Oryzias latipes: one gene and its partners. The protein of the gene in region 1 interacts with the protein of each later gene in a pairwise test. Links are inferred from orthologs where the notes say so. Each region holds a gene or a part of one and is shown on either strand. Other genes may lie near its edges. The genes, in order: grb2, prrc2a, wipf2, histone acetyltransferase p300, wbp11, ptpn23 and garem1.

Region 1 (2,941 bases):
AGAGGAACATTTTCTGTGCCGAGTTTCTTAACACATGCCAGCGTAATTCATCCATGCTGTAGGAAAATTCGTAAATGTCCTTTAACGTAAAAATAAGTATTTTCTAAACGTAATAAACGTGAATCCACCGTGTCTGCATCTTTATCAGATTTATGCAGAGCGGCTTCTGGTACGCGGGAACGACTGTGAATCTGTATTTGGAGGAAGACTTCTGGTTTTGTCTGTAAATAAGGTCTCAATTTTTCGATGAATTGGAAGAGTCTTCTTTGGTTTCCCTGCAGACTCTTTTCTCCCCAAAGAAACTTTCCAAATACATTTATTTGTTGGTTTTATTAGCTTTTAAGCGTTGAACAGCTGCCTAAAGTCATGTGACGCGTCCAGACAGACGGATGTGGTGAACAAAATTCGGTAGTTTTCCAAAATAAAACTTCCTTTAGTATCAGAAAATAGACAAAACAGAAATAATCGGAGTTGGAGTATGTATTTTTGTTCTGTCTGCTACCCTAACCCTGATACCGGTCCTGGGTTTGGGGGACCGCTGCTTTAGACGTCTTGTCTGATTCTTCGTCACAGCATCGCAGTCTTCTCCGTTGCATTTACAGTTGATCTCCAATGCATTGGACTGAGAGGCCGTGGTCGGACGCCGGAGCCTCCACAGCTCCACGCCTGAATGTTTCCCGTTAAACGGCGGCATTAATGTCGATGCATTCACTCAGAACTGGACCAAACGTGTTGTTTAGTGCAGCCATCTCAATCCAATCACGAGAAAAAGCTTTTAGCAAAAGAAAGAAGGCGCACAAGCATTGAAGAGCTGCTTTTACAACATCTGAATTGATTTGAATCCATCACAGAACATTCACATGAATGTCTATTTTTAACAACTGTGACTAAAAAGAACAGAGTGCAGCAGAGCAGGAGAGGTTTTTACTACTATATTCTTTTGTTTCTGCAGAATTAAACTCCACATACCACATAAATATATGTTTGGCTGAGTTTGCAACTTGTCCTGAGGTGCGACTGATATGTATAAAAAAAAAAAATCAATAGCAACAACCACGAGAGGGCGCTGTAGATGTGCGCATCAGCATTTCCTACTGACAGCGTGACAGAAGAAGTGGCGCTCAGTCCAACACCAGGCTTGGCGTGAAGTGTGACGCATTTGTGATCTTTTTCTTCTTTCTTGCTCCTGTGACTGTCAAGTCTGGAGCGACTCATAGTCCAAAAAGATACAGTAATTTGTCAAAATGTAAGTTTTTATATAAATAAAAGTACGCATTTTTAACAGCTTTCCATGTATTGGATCATACCACGATGAAGTCTGGATGGTACATAGTCTTGAATGCGTTTAGGATTTGATTGTTATTAGTATTTTCAGTGCTGCTCTCCACAAAACCATGAAACACCTTTGTGACTAATATGAACATGCAGGAATGAAATGATCTCACATTCATCTTTAAAGCGCTTCTGTGTAATCCTGTACTCCAAATGTCAGTTTAACCGTTTGTGACACTGAAATGTGGCCGATGGCACAGCGTAGCTGCAATAAGAAATACTTTTCAAAGTTAAAACGACCACAACAACAACAAAAAAAAGGTTCTGCTCTAGTTTACGTCCATAAAGTCTTTAAAAAGAAAACCTGTGACATTTAGATTTTACGATGCATCATAAAAATGGATCAGCTAAAAGAAAGAAAGCTCTGATGCGAATCAGAAGCATTAGGTGCAGTCATGTGACCTCGGCATGTGGTGACCTCAGAGTGGTTTTTTTACACCCACGGTTCCACGCCAAAGATCCGCTCCACGGCAGGTCTTCCGCTGAGCTCACATGTGGTCGGGCTGCAAACCCATATGCTGGGACATTTGTGTCTTCATGTATTTGCACAGAAGGTGCACATGGACAGTCAGTGTGCTCCATCAACACAGAAACCAATCCTTAAGCCCCATTTTTAAAGAACAGTTTAGTGGGATGTCTTACCTGGGGAACCTGCTCTATGTCTCGCAGAAAGATTTGCTGATTGCGGGAGACTGAGGTGGTGCGGTGGTAATCGACCAACTCATTGAGAGAGTTAAACTTCACCACCCATAGGAAATACTTTCCAGCTCCATCGCGGAGAACCTTGAAGTGCTGCACGTCATTTCCAAACCTGCAGAGAACAGAAACTCAGACTCTGAACAGTGTGGTGGAGAAGCAGCTAAATGAAAGAGAGTGGAGGGAAGCAAAGAAAAAAAATGCTCCTAAAAACATTTTTATTACTAAATGAAAAAACAAAAGCAGAAAAATTGTAGTTTTATCAGAAATTTGTTTTCTAAAAACATTTTTAAAAACTGGAAATAAGGGAAAAACCACAAGTGACTCAAACTCCGAGAACATAAATTTGTTCAGAAATGAGGAAGCACGTCACGCCCAGGTTGAAGGGGAAAAATATGAATGGAAAAACTAATGCGAGTAATTTTTTCCTGGATTGTGGCGTCAGAGTGCGGCCGCTCACTTGACAGACAGGGAGAAGTCCCCCGGTGCGCTCTCGCTCTCTCTGATGAGGAAGGCCCCATCGAGCCTCTGCTTGTTCAGCATCTCCTCCGCTTTGGCGCGAGGAATCTTCCCGAAGAACCACCTGGAGGACGGCAAACACAACAAGAACTTAGTTTACACATGGGACTTTAAATCAATAACCATTTTGGTTTGGGATCACTAAGTTGATGCAAACGTGCAGAAGAAACCGTATGGAAGACACCTCTGATGCTACGTTCACACCGCCTTAAGCGACACAGGTTCAAGCATCCACTTCAGATGAAAAGTCTATGGAAACGCTCCTAAATATGGGTTTGGGCCTTCCGCAATCAAAACTCACACATTTACGCGTAGCTATGAAAGCTTTTACGACCATTTTTCAGGCTCCATGTAGAAAACGCGCTGCCACTGAATGCGTGTTGAAAGTTAAACC
Region 2 (3,532 bases), on another chromosome or scaffold:
CAGTGGTGTAAATAAGATGGACACCCCTTCCTAGGTGTTAGCTGGATTTTTCTTCTTCTTCCTCCGTTTTACTGCAAGTTTTACTGCAAGATCTAAAGCCGCCATCTGTCGGTCGCCCTCTGAATTACAACTCCATAGACTTGCAATGGTGATTCACATAAAATACGTACAATTCATCTTTAATAATACGTACAACTCATCTTTAATAACAAGCAAATAAACACAGAAAAATTCCAAACTTCATCAAGAATAATTCAAGAAACAATTTAGAGCTCTCAGTAACGTAAATAAGATGGTCCCCTCTCCTGGCTGTCAGTTGGATTCTTCTTCTTCTTCCGTTTTACTGTAAGACCTCCAGCCGCCATCTGTCGGTCGCTTTCTGAATTACAACTCCATAGACTTGCAATGGTGAATCACAAAATAAGTACAATTCATCTTTAATAACAAGCAAATAAACACAAAGAAAAATTCTACACTTCAAGAATGACACAAGCAACAAATTTCCATTAAATCAAAGTAGTTTATTTAACTTTGCCTTCTTTGTATAACTTTATTATAAGACACTTCTCTGCTTGTACATTGCTCCCTTGAACTAAAAATGGCAACATTTGTTTGTGGGAATGTAAGTTGGGGTAGACAAACCTTAGATACATACCAATATACATACATGTGTGTATATTACGGTTCCGTTACTAAAACCATAAATGCTAAAAACTGAACCACTCCAGGTACCTCAGTAATGCTGGAAATGTAATACAATCGTTGAGAGATTCTGCTGTGATACACTACTTGTGTTCATCTTTTAACATGGGTACATACATGAATGCACACATCAAACTTGAGGAGAGGTGGAGGACTCCTTGAGCCGGAGTCCAGTGTAAAGCTATCAATGTATCAACCAGTAACAGGCAATGCAAGCTGCACCCATGGGTGTGATCATGCTAAGAAGTCATAGTGGGAAAAACAAAAAGAATAAGTCCAACTTCATTTGCCTGCTGAAGAATCTATACTTAATTTACACAAAAGAAGTTCTCCACTGCAGGTTTCTCATTTGGATGATGAACATATACACACAGCTGAATGTATACACGTGAATGTATTTAAGAAACAGTAGAATTGTCTTAATTATATTAGTTCGATCACACGCGGGCAAACAAGGCAGAAAGTGCTTGCCGTTTTTCTTTTTAATGTTAAATCCTCTGGTCCCCACCCCCTTCCCGAGCTACAACAGACACCAGAAAACACACATCCACGTTAACACAAACATACAGAAATCATCGAATGCCCTACTCGCAACATCCCAGAGACAATCTTCAAATTGTTGTCAGTAAACAAACCCCAACTTACAGCAGTGACAGAATTGACGCAGGAGAAAAAAAAAAGATCTATTTCCACCTCGGATGCCGTTGAAAGTTCTTATTTCATTGTGATACAAACTGCTTAGAAAGATCATCGACATCCATGCGATGCTTTTTTTTTCCTTCCCAGTCAGATTTTTTTTGTGTGTGTTGCCAGTCAAATCTCAGAAACCGTGTAAACCGCAGAATGTCGATTCGGCATCGTTTTGAAACGTTAGGCTGTCCTGCGTTCATCCACGCTTCCTCAACGGCGAGTCCTTCTTGGTGTGAGGAAGTCGCCCTACAGTGCTGCCAGGGTGCCGCCCACGCCTGACAGCAAGGGGGGGGGGGGGGGGGGGGGGGGGGGTGAACAAAGGAACAACACTGATGATGTACTCTGGGCCCAAACAGAGCACCCTTCCTGTTGCAGCACGTCTCAAAACCACCAAAAATGTTTGATATACCAACAAGGAGTGCTTATTATAACATACTCAATTACTAACGATGCATTCTAAAAAAAGAAAATAAAAAAGGTAAATCAGGACCTTCATTATCAGACTCAATTTTATTCAACAAAAACAAACTTTGATTTGAAATGGACTGTCGCCACAGAAAACGGGAGGCTTTTAAAGAACTTTAAAATAAATCACACTATCGAAGCCATTATTCCTGGGATTTCTGGCTCTGCAAGGAGGGAAGATGCTACGATGAGGCCTCAAAAGCCTTTCTTCCTACACGAGGAGCAACCAAAACCTAAAGAAGAGTCAGTAAAGGATAAGAAATTTTGGGTGGGGGGAAAAAACGAGTCAGTCTTTATGAGCTGAAGTTACAGACAGGTGAGAACTGAGCTGCGGTACTTCCATGGGTCTTCTCACAGTAATTATACTCGCTGCAGGAGACCATAACGAGAGAAATATACAAAAAAAAAATGACGGGAAAAAAACCCACACAATCGCACATGCGTACACACACTCCCTAGCCTTTCTTAAAGGATTAAAAATTCAACAACAACAACAAAAGATCACACAAACCAAATATCTTCAGGTATGATATCGCTAAAAGGATGAAGCTGCGGGATTTCTTCCCGTGGTGAGGGAAAGCGCGCGGCTCCACTACTGAACATCACCCAAGGCCTAAGTGTGAGAGAAGTATACACAAATATAAAAGTCAGCCCCGATTCTGACGCATCTCACGCTTTTGTGCTTGTAAATGCAGGTGTGTGTGTGTGTGTGTGTGTGTGTGTGGGAGCATTGTGTCTCTCAGAACAAAACGTGCACCTGCATTACACAACCACATGCAAGTCTGATGGGAACGGGGGCCGTTTCCTGATGCAACATTTAAAAAAAAGGGGGCATAAATAAACAGACGTACATTTATAATAACGGACGGTACAGAATACATAATGCAGGGGGGGGTGACTAGGATGGGGGGCACTGGAGTGAATACCATCTCCTTATACGGTGATGCACTAACGATGTAAATGCAAACGGATAAGCCATGACATAATGATCAAAAGAGAAAAACAGGGGAGATGGCGGGAACAAAGTGGGTGGGTTTTTTACTAAAATCTTTAATACTCCAATCAAATCACTTCCTGTTTTTTGGAGAAGGCCAGTTGCCGCGCCTCTCTCCGCGATTGCCGCCTCCGTTTCCTTGCCCCCCGGGGCCGCCGCCGGGTGGGCCGCGGGGGCCTCTGCCTCCTCCTCCTCCTCCAGCGTTGACCCTCCGGTGCTGGCGGTCCATCCCGGGACGCTGGCTGGAGAAGCTTCGTTTGTTGGGCTCTTTGCCCGTCACGTCACGCTCGATGAGGTCTCCGGCGACGCCACCTCCTCTGCCGCCGGGGTGGTGGTGGTAATGCTTCCCTCCCCCTCCGCCCTCCCTGTCTCTGAACTCCGTGAAGTCACTGCTCTCGGAGGCGGTCTCCCACTCCTCGTTGGCCTGGTCGGAGTTCTGGTTGGTGAAATCGGGAGACTTGGCGCCGTGGTTGTGGTGGTGCTGGGGGTGAGTTGGACCTGCGCTGCTCTGGTTGTAGTGGTGATGGTGGTGGCTGTTTGCATTGTTGAGGTGGCCGCCGCCGCCGCTGTTACTGTTGGTGGTTAGTGTGGTGCTCTGGGTGGCATTTTGGGCGTTTCCTGTAACGGAAGGCGGGACTTGAGCTTCGCTGCCGTCCTGCACTGAATTCAGGGAAGGAGACA
Region 3 (3,500 bases), on another chromosome or scaffold:
CAACACAAGACGGAAACAAACGCCGGGGTAACGTGGAAATGAGACCGGCTTCTGCCGATGCTAAGCAGAGATTCGTCTGCCTGAAAACTGAAACGTTCAGCCAGTTGAAGCAGAGACATGCAAAGAAATGAAGGTTTCTACGCAAAAGTCCAGTTTCAGAAACGCAGCAGCTCAGCTTACGGCTAAAATCCAACACTGAGTCTTTGGTTTCAAATCAATTTTCTTTGGTTTAACTTTGTCCTCATTTCAGAAACTATTTGTTTCTGTTTTTTTTACTGTAAATAGTCTTCAAGAGATGCAATAATGTTAATGAGTGAACAAATCAATATTTTTGTCTACTGAGATAAAAAATTCAGATTTTGTTTGTTCGTTTAGGGGGAATTTGTTGACATTTCAGTCTCAGGGTCAAAACGACTCGGTGGCGGTTCATCTCCTGAGCTTCATGGCGTGTCGGCCTGGAGACTCGTGGAAGAGCGTTCCTGGTAATCAGGAAACAAAGCGCCGTTTTGCATACGAGCAGGAGGTGGTTTGCTTATCTTTGAACAGCCGCCTGCATCACAGAAAAATCCTAAACAAACTAGTTCCACTGAAGAACAGCAGCAGCCATTTTCACACAGATTCGCCTTTGATGAAGTCGTGGGAAAAACGGAAGAATCCATTCCTGCTTTCCGTGTCCCCAACGCCACGTGGACGGAGGGATGGAGGCGGGACTCACCTGTGTTTGGTCTAGAAGAGGAGGAGCTGGAGTGACCGTTGCGGATGGGTGGAGGAGGAGGGGGCGGCCCCGCTGGCGTTCTGGTAGATGGTGGAGCTGAGGAGGAGACGGGGGGAGGAGGCTTCCCCACCCGGATCTGGGGCTCTGAGCCTCCAGAGCTGTGGCCACGATACGGAGGCGGGGGAGGAGGGGCATCACGACCGCCGTTCCGAGAGCTGGGAGGGGGGGCCGGGGGGACTGTGACCAGGAAAAAAGAAAAAAGTTCAGGATTAGAATCTGAAGAGTGGAAGAACACTTTCTCTGAGAGGGGAACCGGACCGCTGAAAGGCTCGCTTTGGTTTTCTGGGACAGGAGCTGCGACCAATGCTTTTTTAAAAAGGAGGTGTAAGCTCCTCCCCAGTGGAACAGCCTCCATCAGGACCAGAGACCTGATGAAACTAAAGACACATCAATCACTTATTCATAGCTGATTCATTCTGGACGAATTTATGTCATTGTATTTTACTTTCTTTGAAAACGCCAAGGGGGAGGAGCTTAAGTATCTGGGTTTGGAAGGATACTGACAGTTTGGTAGAGTCAGTTTAATCCTTGGGGGGTTTATATTTTAATAATTGTTGTCACATATTTACTGTTGTATTCGTGTATAAATTGGTGCTGCTGGCAGATTTTGTTTCTTTGACTTAAAAAGTATTTTATTTATCAAAAGGAAATAATAATTGTAATTCAGAATTTTTCTGCTGTAAATTCTTAATAAAAATAAAAAAGGGATCATTCTAGAAACGGATAATTAATGTTCTGGTAATAAAAAGCAACGTCCCAATTTAACACTGAGAAGTGGCAGATGACACGACGTCTGTCAACAGAAGAAAAATACTTTAATCTGAATTAGAAAACGTCTTTTGGGATTTATTCAATCTTAGGGGGTCTGTTAGACATAAAAGTGATGTCAATACAGATCAAGTCAGTCTGACTGTGTGTGAGAACTGGACTGGGTGGCCCCGCCCCCCTGGCGTTCCAAACAGGAAGTAGCCGCTAAAATCTCGTAGACGTCTATTGAGAACCAAACAGCTGTTACTCGGTTTTGTTGGTCAGAAGAACCATTCAGGGTCTGACCCCTTTAAAATCATCTCTATTATTCCCCTTTTTCGTGATTCTTTTCTGTAGTTCAAGTTATTTAAATCATAAACTGGCCAATCAGATGCTCCAGTAAACGTAGGCGGAACTTTCAAAGCGACTGACAGATTTTCTGTAGTCTGCCATCAAGTAGAAGGGGCGTGGCCTTCCAGCAAGCTGGTAACAGTGGTCACCATAGAAACTCAGACCGGCTCGGACCAATCACTGCTTACTGATGTCATCAGACTCAAACATGGTGACTGAATTGACTTAATTTGGTTTGAGGAGAAAGTAAACAATTTTCTATGGATGACGTCACACTCAGTCCAGCTCTCTGATACAGTCAATGGTTGTGACTCATAACCTAATCCTGTTTCCAGAGATCAGGAAAAACAAACAAATAAATCCACTAAACTGAACCGTTTCCAGGGTTCAAACTTTGATTTTACAAAACCAGCTGATCAGCAGCTGCAGTTTGATGTCAGCTGGAGGCAGAATGAGAGAAGAGGAAAGCTGGAATATTCCAGAAAACTTCAGGAATGCAGAGGAACCTGGAGAATCGTTTGTTGGCCCATTACACGCAGGCAACACGTCAGTTCCAGTTTGGCGAGTTTGGAGTTACAAACGTTTCCACGCCGGATGGAACTGAGGCCGCGTTTCTACGACAACCTGGAGGCAAAGAGTCCCTCGACAAATGTGAATAACAGAGGAAATCAGATGGTTGTTGTCTGGATGTGTGTGTGTGTGTGTGGGGGGGGGGTCATGTGATGAAGATGCTATATATGCAGCTAAATGTAAGAAAACTGTTGATCTCTTCAAAAATCCAGACGTCAGAAACCGCTCGACTGCCAGCTGTAGCATCTGTGTGCGTGTGTGTGTGTGTGTGTGTGTGTGTGCGTGTGTGAGACCACGTTCATACCTGCTCTGCGTCCAGGTGGTTCTCTGGCGGGCGGCGGTGGCCGGCTGCCCTGCTGGGAGGATGGAGAAGGAGGGGGCGGTGGGGCTTGACTCCGCCCCCCTGATGAGTGCTTCTTACGCAGCGAGTTGTGTCTCCGCGGGAGCTCAGGGGCCCCCCCTCCATCCACGTCGGAGGGCCCGTTGGAGACCCCACCTGACAGGTGAGGTCTGTAAGGGGGAGGAGGGGGAGGAGCGTGAGAGCCGCTGGGCTGCGGTCTGCTCGAGGACGACGGGGGCCTCGCCGTACTTGACGGCGCGGGAGCTCTTTGCGGCGTTGGTGGGAGGGGTTTCTCTCTTGAAGCAGGCGCTTGCGGAGCGTTGCCGCGGTTTCCTCTGTTGAAGGGGGGAGGGGGCGGCGGGGCAGATGTGCTGTGCTTCATCCCGCCGGAGGAGCTGCTGTTGTGGGAGTGGGAGATGTCTGGCAGGGAGGGGCGGTGCGACCGCTGGGGCTCCGACGAAGAGGGCCTGTTGGGCGGGGTGGGGGAGCTGGAGCGACCCGTGGGGGGGCGAGGAGCAGCAGGCCGGGATCCCGGCGGCTTGAGGGCGGATCTGCCGAGGGAACCAACAACCGGACCGTCTGGGAGGAGGAGAGAGGCGGAGAATCATGCAGACATCAAACACAGAGAGGCGGAGCTTCCAGTGGGCTGAACGTGGGTTTTTGAACACATGTAGTGTTCGTACGGGACTACTCGTTGGTAGAGCATGGACCTACAGT
Region 4 (3,500 bases), about 1.4 Mb from region 1:
CTGACCGGCCCCCACAGGATTCATGCTGCCCTGCTGGCTTCCTCCTGCAATGTTACCCACCGGTCCTCCTGGGACTCCTCCTGGTCCACCAGGACCCCCCTGCCCCCCCTTGTATTTGGCAGCCCTCTGTTTAATGAAAGCAGCCATGAGTTGCGGGTTAGAGCGCAGGATGTTCAGCACCTGCTGCTGCTGCAGCGGGGAGCTGGGGGAGCGGAGTGTGCGCAAAAGCTCCTGCAGAGCTCCCTGTGGGATGTTTCCACCTGCAGCACCAGGAACACCGGCAGCTCCGGGGACTACACCACCTGTGACCCCCCCAACGGCACCCTGCTGCTGCTGCGCCATATTCATCAAGGCAGCATGGCCTGGAGTTGGTTGATGGGGAGGCTGCTGTTGGGTGGGCATCATGGCTGAATGGCCCATCTGGGTCATCATAGCTTGCCTCTGCTGGGGGGACATGCCCTGACCGGCCCACTGTTGCTGCTGCTGCTGCGGGTTCTGGAGCGGAGCCCCCATCCTCTGCTGCGCCTGCGGGCCGAGCTGGATCTGCTGCAGGTTTCCTTGCTGAGGGGCCTGCTGCATGTGTCCGCCAGCGCTGGCCATCATTCCTGGGGGAGCAGCTTGCTGCTGGTCCATGTGGGCTCGAGCTGCTGCTGTCTGGATTTGCGGGGGCATCCCCTGAGGTCCAACCATCCCCACTGCTCCCAGATGTCCCATGTTCATCTGCTGCCCTGGAGCCTGTTGGTGGTGGGGCATCAAACCCGCACCTGCTGCGTGCCTCTGTAGCGCCATCTTTCTTTGAGATTCAGCCACCTGCTGGATCTTCAGAGCTATCTCTACGGCGGCCGCTGGGGGGCCAGAGGGGGGCATCGGTGGCTGACCTGGTGGCTGGTTGGAAGCCTGTTGTCCTGGAGGCATGACACCCCCAGGCTGCTGCTGGGGGGGAGTTGCAGAGCCCAGAACAGGCTTCCCCTGGGACTGGTGGACTGGGGAGGAGCCTGGTGGTCTGTTGGCGTATGACTGCATGTTGTTGGGGTGCTGCCCCGGATTTGTTCCTGATCCAGGTTGTTGTTGTTGTTGTTGTTGTTGTTGTTGTTGTTGCTGCTGCTGCTGCTGCTGCTGCTGCTGTGGGACCTGAGGGAGCATCTGCTGCTGATGCTGTGGGGAGCTCATGACCCCCCCACCTCCACCTCCACCTCCCATCTGCTGGAACTGATGGAGAGGATGTTGAGGAGCCATTCCTCCTGGTTGTGGTTGCTGTGCTCCGCTCCCAGGACCCAGTCCCTGCTGCTGGACTGCAGGCATGGTCTGAGTTGGGGTCTGAGGTGTCGGGGGTTGGGTTCCCCCAGACGTTGGAGTGTTGGGTGCTGTGACGTTTCCTGGTGATGGAAGTCCTACCACAGGTCCTCCTGGCATGGCCCCGGCTGGCTGCCCCGCCCTCTGCATGGTGGCCATCCTCCTCCTCAGCATCTGGGCCTGCTGGAGTCTGTGCTGCAGATGCTGCTGCCGAAGCTTCTGCTTGATGTTTAGACAGAAGGGGACCGGACACTTGTTCTCCTGGCAGTGTTTGGCGTGGTAGCAGCACAGAGCGATGAGCTGCTTGCAGATGGGACATCCCCCGTTGGTCTTGCGTTTGCAGCCTTTGGTGTGCTGAACAACCCGCTTCATCTTCTGGCAGGACGGCAGCGAGCAGTTGGCGTTGCGGCATTGACACGCGTGGACCAGAGACTGGATGCAGCGCTGGATGCTGAGGCGCCGCGAGTCCCCGGGGTTCTGAGCAGCGGCTGCAGCCTGGTTGTTGCCGTCGTCATCCAGGCCGAGCCCCAGCTTGTCCATTTTGTGCTCGTGGCCTTTGATGTTGTAGCAGGTGATGCACAGGTCGTAGTCCTGGAGAAAGAAGAGAAGTCAGAAAAAGATTTTCCTGCTGGTTGCACCAACGTCTGTGCAGCAGAAAGCTCTCTGGCCGCTCTCACCTCGCAGACCGTGCAGTGGAAGCGGGTCTCCACATGGCGTTTGCATTCGTTGCAGGTGTAAACAAAGCGGTCCTGGCTCTGGTTGTGGAGCTCCACCAGCATACACATGGAGCTCCACTTGGACCTCCTGAGAGAGCTGAACTCCAGGTGCTTGTCCCTGGCCAGAGTTAGAAAGGCATCGCGGCCGTCCATGAGGTCACAGGCCATCAGAGGATCCGGGTCAGTGATTGGGGGCAGAGAGTTGGCCGTGGGGCCGGCAATGAGGCGGATAACAAAGAAAACCTACCAAGGGAACACAAAAAGTGTTAGTTTTCTCAACTATTAAATAGACAGCACCCAACTCCTCATCTGTACAGACAAGCTCCATGTATAAAAGGTGAAATATTTGCTGCCATAAGTTTGAGTACCTCCTTATGTTTCTCCATGGTGGCGTAGAGCTTCTGGGAAAGGTCGTTGGAGACACTGGGCATCCCGGGTTTCTTCTTATTGGCTCGGCTCAGGCTGCTTTTGTTCTTGCTCGTCTTTTTGTTGTTCTTCTTTTTGGCATTTTTGCTGTCTCCCTTGGAGGGCTGCAAATGTTTTAAAGGCGATCTTTAATGCATGTTTCAGCGCAGCAGGGTTGCTCTGGACCTGCTAGCTTTGACCCTACTCACATCTGTGCTCTCGCTGGAGGTGCTGTTCTCCTCCCTCTTCCTCTCCTCCTCCTCCTGTTCCAGCTCCTTGATGCTCTCCTCAAGCACGTTGGGCCAGAAGTCTCCCTCAAAGTATGGCAGCTCCTTGGCACTTGTCAGTCGGTCTTCTGTTGCTTGTTTGAAAATGTCCTGCATGACCACAGAAGGAAAAAAATTTTGTTTTAAAATATTTAGGGGGGGAAAAAAGTCAAAAATCACAGTAGAAATGTTTGCAATAAGAGAAATTTCTAAAACTGATCTTAAATGAGGCCTCTGACCTTGTAGTCATGGATGATCCGCTCAGAGACGGCCTTGTCCAGCATTTTCTTGTACCACTCCTGCAGGCGTTTGGGTTTGGGGATCTTCTGGTCTGGCGGGTGACAGTGAAAGATATAATCATCTCCTTCACTGGGAGGACAGGCCCAGATGTGTCCCGCTGTAAACCTGGAACACAGACAGTTTCACAGATGAGCACAAAAGTTTAAAGGACATCCTGTTTTAGTAGCTCTTAAAAGCGCAATGAAGCCTTTTGGCTCTTACCCCTGCCTCTTGACGTACTCCAGATAGCCTAGTAGGATCTCGTGATACACTGCTGTCCTGAGGTGTCGAGGTTTGAAGAAGTGCACGCTGTCCAGGTAGGAGATGTACACCCGCCTCTGGTTTGGAGGGGGGCAGTCTGAGCCGTACTCTTGAACGTGCATGCCGAAGAAGCACACGTCCGCCCCGTCAATGTCCTCAAAGGCAAACAGGGCCTTCATCCTGTACGGGAACGACTCGGACATTTCTCCGCTGTCCACAAACCTGCAGAGGAGGAGCACAGACATGAGACCCAAAGTCCACTTTTGCCCAAACTGCTGAA
Region 5 (4,267 bases), about 260 kb from region 1:
CTGGAGGTGGGCCGAGAGGTGGAGGTCCAGTCATTGGAGGACCTTGCATGGGTGGAGGACCTTGCTGTGCCACATTTCCGGCAGTAGGAGGCAGATTCTGACCAGCCAAAGAATGAGGCTGCTTTTCTCCCTTTGATCCCCTCTCCTCTGTGTCAGAGCTGTCAGATCCATCCGTATATTCTTCCTCTTCTTCTTCGTCTTCATCCTCCTCAGGAATCGACTGACCTGAGAAGAGAAAAGCAGCGAATAGATATAAATATTTAAATATATTGAGAATAAAAGGCAGCTGTAATGCTGTAGAGATGTGGATGTGGCCCTCGTCCTCACCTGCCATCCTCAACATCATGGCCTGCAGAGGAGTGATGGCTTTGCTCTTTTTCACAACTCTTTTCTTCTTTTTCTTCCCATCTCCTTCCGCTGGCATGTCTGCAAAACGCACACTCCGACCTGCCGGGAATACGAGCCGGAGAAAAAAACACAAGACATTATATTAAAAAAAATGCACTCAGGGATGCTGATCAGCATCTTTGTTTCCTTTTTTTTTACCTCTGTCTTTGTTCTCCTCCCTCTTTTTGTCGTCATCTTGCCGCTCGTTGTCCCCTCCTTCTCGCTCTTCCTCGCTGTCTTCCTCAGAGTCGCTGTCATCGTCCCGGTCATCTCTGTCGCTCTCACTGCCACTGTCCTGATCCCTTTCCATTTCCACGTCTCTATCTAAACCAGGAATGGAGGATTCTTTGCAGAGAAAAAGAAAAGGTAAGAGGAGCAGGAGATTTAAAAAAAACACACACACACTGACATAGATGTGTCTGAATGTTACCGGCTTTTGTGCTGTAAGCTCTCCGAGAAGGAATTCCATAGAGAGCCAGGACCTGAGGAGGTGGGGGTCCAGGTGGGGGCCCTGGTGGCTTCTTTCCTGGAGGTAAACGCGGGACACCAGGTACTGATGCCATCACCGGTCCAGTGGATGAAGAAAGAAGTGGCTTGCTATGAAAAACAAAATGAGAACAATAAATAACATATTACATCCCACAGAATGCAGGAAGAGAAACTTGAACAAAACCAACCCAAAAGGGGTCTTCTTCAGAATGGAGGGAGGCTGCGCCCCTGGCAATGGGATGTCTTGGATGTGAATATTTGAAGGAGCGTGGGGCATGTCAGGTAAAGGAATACTGTCGACCTCCACTGACTCGGCATTCTGGAGGAAAAAATGCAAATATTAACACCTGCAACTAGAAAAAAAAAAAAAAAAAAAAAAAAAAAAAGCCAAAAAGACTTGAAATAAACCAAACTGTGTGTGTGACTTGGAGGTAAAACCTAATTTAAAATTTTTCAAAAGGTAATTAATACTTTAAGAAAAGAATAAAGGATCTTTAAGTGAACAAAGGAAGGAAAAAGGATCAGGAAGAACTAAAGCTACCTTCACTGAATCAAAATAAAGAGCCAGCTGGCCTCGCTTGGTCTCGTAGTCCAGTTCCAGTTTGCGCAGCTCCTTGTAAGTTTCCGGGTTCTCCCTCTCGTACAAATGGATGATGCGCTCAAATGTCTCACGCAGCTTCTTCCTCTTGTCCCTCAGTACTTTCTCATTCAGCAGAGGCTGTTGAACTGGGTTAAACTCTGCAGACAAGAAAAAGAATCAAAATGTTATTTTAAATTAGGATGGAGAGTGACTCAAAAGCTTATCCACATGCATGGACATCAATTTATGGGTTATAATACCGCAGTAGTTAATTCTGCTTAACTGAGGCTACATGACTATGTGTGTAGAGAGTCAGCTCAAAGATTAACTTGGGTTCTAGGAGGTTAAAGATGTAAAATAAAGTGAAAAAAGCAAATAGGAGCTGCTTACCCATCTCATCTAGCTTCTCCATATCTCTGATGATCTGTCTGGGATCCTTCATTTTCAACACTGCTGCTCTTACCATCATCCTCTGCTTCTTGTTCTGTGCAAAGAAAAAGCAAAGAAATGCAATCCAGAATAAAATTGTTTAGAAAAAAAAAATGAATGAATAAAAAAAGCCAACAAATATTCAGCTTAACAGTCCAAGTACCTTTTTTAACTCCCTTTTCCTCGCCTCTTTCCCTGTAAGGTAGGTAACACAAACACAAATGAGTCATGTTGACTGGATCTGATCATCACTGCTCGCACGGGTCGGTACTTACTGGCCTGGTCGGTGGGATTCATGAACTTCCCACTCTTGGTGGAGGAGGTTGAACGTCGCCCCATTGTTGCGGTCAGTCTCGTTTAACCTAACCAGTGCAGAATAAACGATGTAATGAGGTAAACAAACAAAAACTACAATCATATTCTAAAATGTGGTTAGAGTGCCTTGATGTTACTGTTTTATACCAAACTGATGGTAAGTTTTATGATCCCACAAAGCTAAATTAATATTTGAAGGAAGTTTAACTGTTTCTCTTTATAATAGTTGAGCTAGCAGGTAAACACGGAACTCTTGGCTCTTATTTTTACATAATTTGGTAAAACAAAGAAGGAATTCAGGCTGCTGGCAAAGCATATCGAAGCAAAAAGCTTGGACTCCAGCAGAGATTCGCTAGCTTAGCGCGTTAGCTTGCACTTGTGGCTACGCCCGTTTTAGCATCAACTGCAACAAATTAGTCAACGCCGCCTCTACCTTTACTTCAGGAAAACCTGGTGGACCACGATGGGTTTGTCACGCTCTCCGTGACACCTAAAGCAAAAAAATAAAGCCACAACCGAAAGAAAACCCAACACTTTAGGGCTAAATGTGTATGAATGCAACGTTAGCCGTCCGCCATGTTTACTGGCGCGGGCAAAAGCGGAAACACGATTTTGACGTCATAAAATTTCAAAATAAGATACTTTTTGTTGAGTATTTTTAGTTTGTTTGAAAGTTTTTGTTATTTGCTAATTTTATGGCCAAACATCTTCTTTTTTGTAATCAAATGCCGACCTTTAGTATTTGCCTGACAAAATAAAATATTTATAAAGTATTTTATTTATTAAAATGTGTGTTTGTTTGATTGTTTTTTGCCATTTTAAGAGAATGGAAACACAATATACTGCCATTGCTAACTACCGAGTACTAATATTAACAATATGAAAAAATGCATGATGATGTGATGTTTAAAACATTTTTAAAAAATAGAATGACATATTTTTCAAGCAATGACAATAACAAGCACCGATTCCAGCCAGAAAGGCCAAGTGGGCAAAATATGTTTAAAAGTGGGCAGAAAAAGTGGACCAGTTCACCGAATGCCCACTTAAGCCAATGTGAGGCCACCACAGAAACTGCAGACAATTGCCCACATTTTCTGCTCACTTTTAAACCATATGGGGCCCACTTGGCCTTTCTGGCTGAGAGCTAGTAGTATTGTTTACATGGAATTGAACTGTTGCTCTTAGGTTTAGTTAAGATTCAGGTTAACTGTGACAGCTCATTTTCTCTTTCTGACTGATGCAGATGGGGAAGCTGCTCATCTAAACGGATAACCTTCCCAATGATGCTGCCATACACCAGAACATCATTGAAGAAGAAGGCTTTGAGCTCCCACGTCTTCATCGTTTTGTTGTGTGTTTGTGGTGGGGAGGTGTAAGAGGAGTGTAAGGGTTGTGGTAAATCAGCTGTTTCTTTAAAGTCCCATTAGCTGCCATGCACCAAGGTGGGGGAAATTCGTTCTCCGGAACAATGTTATCAAGGACAATTTGGTAGTTTAACCCTCCAATTCAACCGCTTCATGCTGGGTGTTGAGCAGGAAGTTATTGGGTCCCATTTTCAAAGTCTTTGATCTGACTCAGCGGTGGATTTGAACTCACAACCTCCACCACAACCCCTCCACCACAAGGCCTCTGAGCTGGAGACCACAGAATATTGGCCACAGAATAATGATACAGTTGACAACTATGTGAACACGAGAGCAAGTGAAGTCTCAGTGTTATGGTGTCTTCATTGTAATGTAAGTGTAATTAGTTTAAAATTTAAATTAAAAAATGTGTATTTAGTTTTAAAACATGTCAGTAATTAGGATTGGAAGGCCAAATGACCCACACCCACAACACAAAACTGGCAAAAGACTTATAGACATTTTTATGGTACGAAGTCGCATGCTTTGATGAAATATTTGTTCTCATTCTATTTCTATCTTTTGGCCGTGCATTGCATTCTAAGATCATACTGTGTGTAAAAACATTCGACTGTATCATGGGGAACGTGAAACGTTGCATCCCTACTGCATATCATGGTTGTGCTAAATTTAACGACGTTTTATTATTCATTGTTTTATT
Region 6 (3,500 bases), on another chromosome or scaffold:
AGGACATTTTAAAGCTCGTGCTCAATGTTTTGGAGGTAAACGCCGGGGAGCAGAGTGAGCCGATTGCAGACCGGAGGCTTAGAGGAAGTATGGATGTGAAATTTATGAGTAGAGTTAAAGAGGACATGATAAGAGCTGATGTCAGAGAAGAGGATGCTGGAAGATGATTCGCTGTGGGGTCCGTGTGGTGAGGAAGCTTAAATATAATATATATATATATATAAAAATAGTCAATTCAAATGTACATCATATTTATTCGGAAAAGGACAAGCTTATATTGCTCCTTTTGTTCTCAAACCTTTCGCTTCTTTCTTGGGCCCCGAAAAGGTCTTTAGTGAGGCATTTTAAAGGACCTATATCATGCATAATTGACTTGTTGACCTTTTAGGTTTATTATAATGGCTATTACTCACTATGAACCCCCAAAGCTGTATTTTGAGTATTCCTCTAAAACAGGGGTATCCTTCATGTTTTCCAATCAACCTTCCATTGAATCTCCTTACTGGCTAAACACACCCAATCAGCAGCATATAATGCAGGATTTCTGCAAAACCAGCAGCAGGACGGCCCCCGAGGCCCGGATTTGGACCCAAACCCTTCTAAAACCCTGTGCTCTGAGCACCAACCCCTCCCAAGCATGAAAACGAGTGGGTTCTCCCTTTGTGACGTAGATAAGTGAGAGCAGCCCCTTCCAGTGAGAGTCTGCGCTGCCAGCCCCGCCCCCAGGCTAACACACACACACACTTTCTCTGCAGAGCTAGCGGTGTTAAGCAAAAACACTTTCATTTTATATTCACACTATGCACGTCCATCTTTGCAAAAGTTTGGATGTTGCTTGTTTTCATGGGTGAAAGGCACGATGTGGTGGCCGGCTCTAGGTTGACGTCATGAAATGGGCGGTACCCACACGGAGCGAAAGGCGGAGCCTCAGGGATCCAGTCGTCTTACTTATGGATAGGAAAATGAGTTGCAAAAAAAACAAATATTTATTTTTAATGTGCCATGGGTAATATATTTCTGTATATATGGCTATAGCTTACCCTGAAAGCCTTAATAGTGGCATGATGTAGGTCCTTTAAAGCACGAGTGGGACATTCAGATGGAATTTTTCAAGTTTTTAAACCTGTTAAGGATCTTTCACGAACATAAAGCGAACATCCAAAACATGTAGAAACCCTTGCAAAGTCAGGCTGGCTTCTGTCTGTTGCATCTACAAGCCTAAATATACATTTGAAGCTATTTCTCAGCAAACAGCCCATTAAATGCTTGTACTGAACAGTAGTCATTTAGTAAAAGAGCATCTTTAAAACATTCTTGATCAGCTTCTGTTGCATCCCCGTGTTTACTGATGCGTTTAAAATCCTTGTTTGTGTTTTTAAATGTTATACATTACTTCAGTTCAACTGTGTGAAAGCTGCTCTCTGCTGCCTGTTGGGCAGCTTTTAGACAAACAGCTGCTGTTGATGATAGAAAATGAAAATGAGAGGAACAATGACCCTGTTTGTGTCTGGGTTTTTAATGGCAGCTCCTCTTTTGTTTACATCTAAGCTCAGTCATAGTCTTTCTTGTATTAAATTCTGCTTTTGGTTTGAACATTAAACTTGACACAGAATAAAAGAGTTGATGCTATTATTATCATCGTGAAACTTTTTTAAGTTTATAGGGTTTTGTTTTGTTCTCTGGCATGAGAAGTTGTCATTTAACAAAAACATTTGTCCACAGAAAGCAGAATTCAAATGTAAAACACAAATCTATAAAAATACTATTCATATAGGGTAAACATCCACAACAGAGAACTATCTTTAGCAGGGTAGTGAGTGCAAAGATGGTGGAAGAAATGGAGAAAATGCAGATAAAATACATATTTGCAAAGAACTTGCAAACAGGAAAAATGTCTTGTTTAATGGAAAAAAAGTTTGTTTTTGCACTTGTCAATAGCGAGTTAGCCTAAGAGAAGGATCAAATGATGCATTTCTGCTCTTGGGAAGATGGGAAGTCATGTTTTTTTCTTTCAAATATGTGTACCTTTACTTGCAGTAATATGTTGGTTTTACGTCACTTTGAAAATGGATAATAAAGTTTGTCACAGCGTTGTTGAACTAAAGTCTTCTGTTGTTGCAGTTGGCTTACCTGCAGAGCTCCTTGGACAAACTGGGGGAAGCTATCAAGCTAGCTAAGGTAGCTTTTTTTCGTATTCTTTGCAACTTTCAGTGTTTTATTTCTTTCTTTTAAAGCTTTATTTATTCATTTCTCTTTCCGCCTTGATCCCTTCAGGGTCAGCCTGACGGTGTGCAGGAAGCCTTGAGATTTACCATGGATGTCATTGGCGGAAAGTGAGCATTGAGTCTATGAGTGACTGCATTTTTGTGTTTGAATCTTTACTTTGAGTGTTAAAAAAATGATTTTGTTTTCCATCTGAACCATTTAAAGGTATAATTCTGCCAAAAAGGACAACGACTTCATTTATCATGAGACGGTTCCCTCGCTGGAGACGCTGGCATCAGTCAAAGGTAACAGGAAGTGACTTTGCTACTGTAAACGTGCATTCATGATATTCAGTTCTCGTCCACACAAACGCCTTTTTGCTCTTCCAGGCGCTCCTCTGGTGAAGGCTCTGCCTGTAAACCCCACGGATCCCAGCGTCACTGGGCCGGACCTGTTTGCCAAACTGGTGCCCATGGCTGCACACGAAGCCTCGTCGCTGTACAGGTGTGGTCCCTCAGAGGAACTAACACTTCAAGAGTCTCTGTGTCTGTGTCTCTGTGTTAGGAAAGTTTCACCGTGTCTGTGCTTTTCATTTCAGTGAGGAGAAAGCAAAGCTGCTGAGAGACATCATAGCCAAGATTGACGGCAAGAATGAAACCCTAGAGTGAGTTACTACTGAAATTTGTTGTTTCTAGTTAAAGTCCTACTCCAACTGTATTTATTAAGTACTGTAAAATCCTTCCCAGTGGTCTTTGCCGCTTCTAGCCTAAATCAACAAGCCTCTGTCATTTTTTAGGACATGTGTTCTGCAGAGCGGCAGGAGTTCATTAGGAATTTGCCTCTGAGTTGTGGGCGGGACTGTTGGCGCAGAAGTAACCCTACGTTAATATCCCGTCATTCAGTTGTTTACTTCCTCTCCCGCTAGCTTACAGCCCCTCGTAGCCACAAGCTAACATTAGCGGCGAGCAATATCAGAGCTATCCAGCCAAACAGTTTGACATACAGATTCCAGCTCAGACGAGGAAAAATAAGACATTAATGGATCTATTTGTCTGCAAGTGGATGCATCAGAATGAAGCGGAGCAGGGAGACTTCACCCCTTTCTGCTGCTGCGTCACAACTGAGAGCTTTTTCAAACGGCGGTCCATCCCAATTTGAAAAGAGAAATCTTAATTTAGATATAAATTTAATTTATCTTAATTTAATTTACTTAGTCTTAATTTCTATAGGAGATATGATGTTGAGATAATATTCTTTTAGTGCACCTTGTTGATATTTGGATTGTTTAAGTCACT
Region 7 (4,058 bases), on another chromosome or scaffold:
CGATTCACAGATCAAACCACAATTCTTTCCATTTAATATATTATGAATGAATGGTCGCCTCATGTACGTGTTTTTGTTGGATCTATAAACATCATTTACACATTTGTTCAGAACAGGATACAAGAATCAGCAAAACATAAATAAAAGCTCAAATATTTTAAAAGAAAGAAAAGGTATTTGTCACTTTAAATAATGTCACACTTGTGTAAGTTTTTCTGTAACCTTCCTGGTCAAATTCAGTAGTGTACAAAACATAATCGTCACTGTTGCTTTGGATCGTTTAACATCCAGTCCTGGAAGTGTTCTCCACAGTTTTTCCATCTTCAGAGTTTGGCTGACTAAAGTTCCAGTAGATGGATGATAAGAAAACAATAAATGAAGACACAGCAACACCTCAATAAAAGTGACTCTGTAATAAATAGGAACTGTTCTTTAATCTAAACTAACAGCAGAGTTTCCAGCAAACATATTTTATTAACTCACTGTTTTCATCTTTAGTGGAAAACACAAAAAACCTCCACACTTTAGATGAATATTTTGCAGACATGTTCTGGTACGTCACATAACTGAACAGAAGATTTTAATAATATTTTAAAATGTCCTATTCATTCTAATTTTTCTTTAAATTATCAACTACTTTTTAAATAAAATGTTTTTTTCAGAATTTATTTCAAAATTTTACTCCCATTTTTTGTATCTGAGAAAACACTTGATAGCTTTACTTTGAAAACGAGAACCTTCTCTGACACTTTACTCTGAAAATTTGTTTACTTCCTGTGACAGAAGTCCATTCAGTTTGTTTAGTTTTTAAACTTAAAATCCAACATTTTTCTGTATTTTACAGTGATAATTTATTTTTTATATATATTCCACTATATTTCCACGTCACAAATATTGGTACAGTTTTCTGGAAAAGATGGCGTATATCTGAGTATTCGGATGCTCATCTCGGTCCTATTCATCAAAATGATCACTTTGGAAGGGGAAAGTGTACCTTAACATTAAACGTGATGTCCTCCATGACGTACACTCTTTCGGGGAAGGCTTTGGCCACCTCCTCCACACTGTTGAAGTATTGCACGGGCTCCTTGACATCTCTGTCCTGTTCCAGCAACTTGAACTGGCCTAAGCAGAACACGAATGATTAGTGCTGATATTTTCCATCGCTTCTGCCATCACATGAGAAGTAAGCAGTTGGTGGTTCATCAGTTTCTCAAAATAATCACTCAGAAAACTTTTGAAAGCATACACGATGAATAATTTAGATAAGAAAGAGCCATTTCAAAGGAAGCACCATCTTCATGGCGGCTCCTTACCTTCATAATGAACTGGGATCTCTATTTTAGGCCCAATCACATAATGTCCCTCCTCTAGACTGTGAGCAGTTATAGTTGTCCACTGACGGCAGGAATGAATCAAGAGGTAGTCGTTTTCTCTGAGGCCCTCAACCAACTGAGCTGCAGAAAGGAAGTTTAACAATCAACCAAAGTACACAAAGAGTTTATGATACAATCAGGTCTGGATGAAGCTTTTAATAATATAGTCTATCCAGTGAGTTGCTTCCTGAAAAGGAAAATATTAAGATTTGAATAAATAAATGTGTCAGAAATTACACATAAAAATGTATGTTCAACTTACAAATAAAGTTTTTTAAAAATGAATCAAGTACTGGACACGAGCCTTTTTACTTCAAAACATTACATTATGGATAACCATCACCTGCTAAAAGAGACATTTTAAAAGGTAATTTAAAATCCATTAGACATAATCCCACACAATTTCTGCATGTTTTATACATTTAAATTATGAAATGAAAAACACAAATTTAACTAAGTAGATGTTAACTTTTGTCAAAGACACTTTCTAGTTAAATAAAGTGTAGACATACTAGGGGACTCATGATGTTGTGAAGGCAATGTTGTTGTTTTTTTACACCTTCAGCGTTTTCCTTTGATTAGCAAAATAGCCTTTTCGTTTTTACTTCATGACCTAAATTCTTATTCATTACCATCAAGGTTGCTTTTATATCAATCAGTTTATAGCATTATTGCACTAAAGCGAATCTTTGTTTTTCATTAGCTTAGACTAGAGCTGATAAGCAGAAGCCTTAACTGGCTAGCATGGTAGCTATAAAACTTGAAGTAAGTTACTAACCGTTATCCAGCATGACAATTTGTGGCAACTTGTACGCACTGACCAGCTGGTCTAGCGGCAGAGACGTCGTGCTCCACGTTACATCCTTTAAGTTATTGTACAACATCGTTCCAAGGTCCATTTTGCTAGCTTAAGTTAGTTAGCCACTTTTTGAGCTAACTGGTGCAAAACACGGTCACAAAAAAGCTTTCCCGAGCAAACTAGCTACACAATTATAGCTGCTCTTCATCTATGCAGTTGTGTCATGCACATGACGTTCCCAAGTCGTAGCTGCATAGTTCCCTCTAAGTTTCCCTACGTATCCAAAAGGTTCGTTGTTAGAAAAAGTAGCCAAGCCATGTTTGTTTAGTAGCGACGGCAGTATCAAGCTAACTATTCTAACGGAAATACGTCACTTTCTACAATTTTATTTTTATTAAATAAAAGCCTTTCCCTTTTCCCCCTCCAATTAAAATTGATGAATAACAAGATTTAAATCCCGGAACAACAACTCAAATTATAACAAAATTATACAAGTACATAGCAGGTGATAAAACATTAACAAAAGAAGGGAAAAGGCCAAATAAAGTGCATTCTTTAGGCTTTTCCATTAGGTTTAATTTTTTATAACCACTTCAATAATTTCACTGCGTTTTCTTTTGTTTGTTTTTTTGCTTATTTTTATTTATTTTTTACTTCTCACAAACAATTGAACTCCTTCTGATAAAATAGTCTGGATTACAAATTAAAAATCTATTTTAGTAAATAAAATATATTCCAAAAATTGTGAAGTTTCGTATCATTTCGTAATAACCAATCGATACATTTTCTAACTTTATGGCTTAGCTATTTTATATCTTATCTAATTTTACATCTTAGCTTTTGAAATAAAAGTGTTTGTTCCAACAGATGTAGAAATTGGATTTTAATGGAATGGAAGAAGTATTTACTATTTACTACATACTAAAGAAAATGCATTTAATTAATTCAAGATAAGTACCAGAAAGTATATTTTTGTCTCGCTAAAAGGTTGGGGAAATAAGAAAAATTTTAAAGAGTGTTGGCCAACAATTCAACAATTTTAAGGACAAGAGAAAAAAAATCAAAACTCTAAAATAATTTATTTTCTTATAACTTTGTTAATGTTTACACTAATCTATATAACTTAAAGAAAAAGTCTATTAAAACCTGAGATGTAACCTTTTTTTTTTGTTTGTTTTTTCATTCTATTTTGTTTTGCAGACTGTAATGCCAGATTTAAGCCTCAAACTTTGCTAAATAATGTTAAAATAATGTTTTAATTACTCATAAGTTTTCATTTATCTCTTAAGGCACATAAAATAAAAGAATAAATTTAAAAAACATTGAGGTAATAAAATAACCTGTTCTTTTGTTTTGGCTAAATATATGGGTTCACACAATTTTTATTAATTCATTTTTAATCAGTGAAGTTTTGGAAAATCTTAACTTAAGGTAGACTTTGTGATGAGTAAATGAAAAAAAATGAAAAAAATACGGTATTGCTAATACAAATCCATGTAAATCATAAAATTAACCAAAGATAATGATGAGGTGGGGAGTACTACTATTGCACTTTACTTCATTATTTACTCTTAAAATACTACAGTAAATATTTAAACACCCATAATTTTTTCAGATCAACGATTCACAGATCAAACCACGATTCTTACTATATTGACTTGGACTCAAGAGCACATGGCGTTGATGCAAATTCATTGAACGTTGTCATCAACTTCCTGTTTTTCATGGCATAAATCAGAGAAACTTCCTCAATTCAGTCACTGTGTCTCAGCGGCAGCCAAAATGTCTTTTGTGGACACTCTGCGACAGTGGGATGACGGCGTAACCTGTGCTGACAAACAGGATTTTTCGGAAGCTCTCCGGATTCTCTTGGCCATTCCTGA

Evidence for each region.
Region 2: the proteins of grb2 (region 1) and prrc2a interact in a two-hybrid assay, tested with the Homo sapiens proteins (2 studies listed by BioGRID and IntAct). The link is inferred for Oryzias latipes from reciprocal best matches to the Homo sapiens genes GRB2 and PRRC2A.
Region 3: the proteins of grb2 (region 1) and wipf2 interact in binary tests that used the Homo sapiens proteins (3 or more experiments, as listed by UniProt). The link is inferred for Oryzias latipes from reciprocal best matches to the Homo sapiens genes GRB2 and WIPF2.
Region 4: the proteins of grb2 (region 1) and histone acetyltransferase p300 interact in a two-hybrid assay, tested with the Homo sapiens proteins (2 studies listed by BioGRID and IntAct). The link is inferred for Oryzias latipes from reciprocal best matches to the Homo sapiens genes GRB2 and EP300.
Region 5: the proteins of grb2 (region 1) and wbp11 interact in binary tests that used the Homo sapiens proteins (3 or more experiments, as listed by UniProt). The link is inferred for Oryzias latipes from reciprocal best matches to the Homo sapiens genes GRB2 and WBP11.
Region 6: the proteins of grb2 (region 1) and ptpn23 interact in binary tests that used the Homo sapiens proteins (3 or more experiments, as listed by UniProt). The link is inferred for Oryzias latipes from reciprocal best matches to the Homo sapiens genes GRB2 and PTPN23.
Region 7: the proteins of grb2 (region 1) and garem1 interact in binary tests that used the Homo sapiens proteins (3 or more experiments, as listed by UniProt). The link is inferred for Oryzias latipes from reciprocal best matches to the Homo sapiens genes GRB2 and GAREM1.

What each region holds. Positions count from the first base shown.
Region 1 is NC_019866.2:20,735,366-20,738,306, forward strand, and holds part of grb2 (growth factor receptor-bound protein 2), read right to left. Parts: intron 2,612-2,941; coding exon 2,489-2,611; intron 2,144-2,488; coding exon 1,975-2,143; intron 1-1,974. UniProt on the Homo sapiens protein: Non-enzymatic adapter protein that plays a pivotal role in precisely regulated signaling cascades from cell surface receptors to cellular responses, including signaling transduction and gene expression.
Region 2 is NC_019869.2:5,521,344-5,524,875, reverse strand, and holds the end of prrc2a (protein PRRC2A), read right to left. Parts: coding exon 2,925-3,532; 3' UTR 501-2,924; downstream 1-500. UniProt on the Homo sapiens protein: May play a role in the regulation of pre-mRNA splicing.
Region 3 is NC_019859.2:1,935,332-1,938,831, reverse strand, and holds part of wipf2 (WAS/WASL-interacting protein family member 2), read right to left. Parts: intron 3,363-3,500; coding exon 2,748-3,362; intron 953-2,747; coding exon 716-952; intron 1-715. UniProt on the Homo sapiens protein: Plays an active role in the formation of cell surface protrusions downstream of activated PDGFB receptors. Plays an important role in actin-microspike formation through cooperation with WASL.
Region 4 is NC_019866.2:19,347,922-19,351,421, forward strand, and holds part of histone acetyltransferase p300, read right to left. Parts: intron 3,443-3,500; coding exon 3,182-3,442; intron 3,086-3,181; coding exon 2,920-3,085; intron 2,792-2,919; coding exon 2,624-2,791; intron 2,540-2,623; coding exon 2,378-2,539; intron 2,253-2,377; coding exon 1,971-2,252; intron 1,885-1,970; coding exon 1-1,884. UniProt on the Homo sapiens protein: Functions as a histone acetyltransferase and regulates transcription via chromatin remodeling. Acetylates all four core histones in nucleosomes. Histone acetylation gives an epigenetic tag for transcriptional activation.
Region 5 is NC_019866.2:20,478,051-20,482,317, reverse strand, and holds the start of wbp11 (WW domain-binding protein 11), read right to left. Parts: upstream 2,801-4,267; 5' UTR 2,634-2,800; intron 2,248-2,633; 5' UTR 2,225-2,247; coding exon 2,161-2,224; intron 2,081-2,160; coding exon 2,049-2,080; intron 1,941-2,048; coding exon 1,847-1,940; intron 1,615-1,846; coding exon 1,418-1,614; intron 1,196-1,417; coding exon 1,065-1,195; intron 985-1,064; coding exon 818-984; intron 733-817; coding exon 547-732; intron 448-546; coding exon 328-447; intron 226-327; coding exon 1-225. UniProt on the Homo sapiens protein: Activates pre-mRNA splicing. May inhibit PP1 phosphatase activity.
Region 6 is NC_019874.2:27,587,562-27,591,061, forward strand, and holds part of ptpn23 (tyrosine-protein phosphatase non-receptor type 23), read left to right. Parts: intron 1-2,121; coding exon 2,122-2,178; intron 2,179-2,274; coding exon 2,275-2,333; intron 2,334-2,430; coding exon 2,431-2,510; intron 2,511-2,594; coding exon 2,595-2,709; intron 2,710-2,803; coding exon 2,804-2,869; intron 2,870-3,500. UniProt on the Homo sapiens protein: Plays a role in sorting of endocytic ubiquitinated cargos into multivesicular bodies (MVBs) via its interaction with the ESCRT-I complex (endosomal sorting complex required for transport I), and possibly also other ESCRT complexes.
Region 7 is NC_019878.2:10,713,160-10,717,217, reverse strand, and holds the start of garem1 (GRB2-associated and regulator of MAPK protein 1), read right to left. Parts: upstream 2,801-4,058; 5' UTR 2,276-2,800; coding exon 2,155-2,275; intron 1,458-2,154; coding exon 1,317-1,457; intron 1,126-1,316; coding exon 995-1,125; intron 1-994. Other genes in the region: ncf2 (neutrophil cytosol factor 2), read left to right, coding at 3,958-4,058.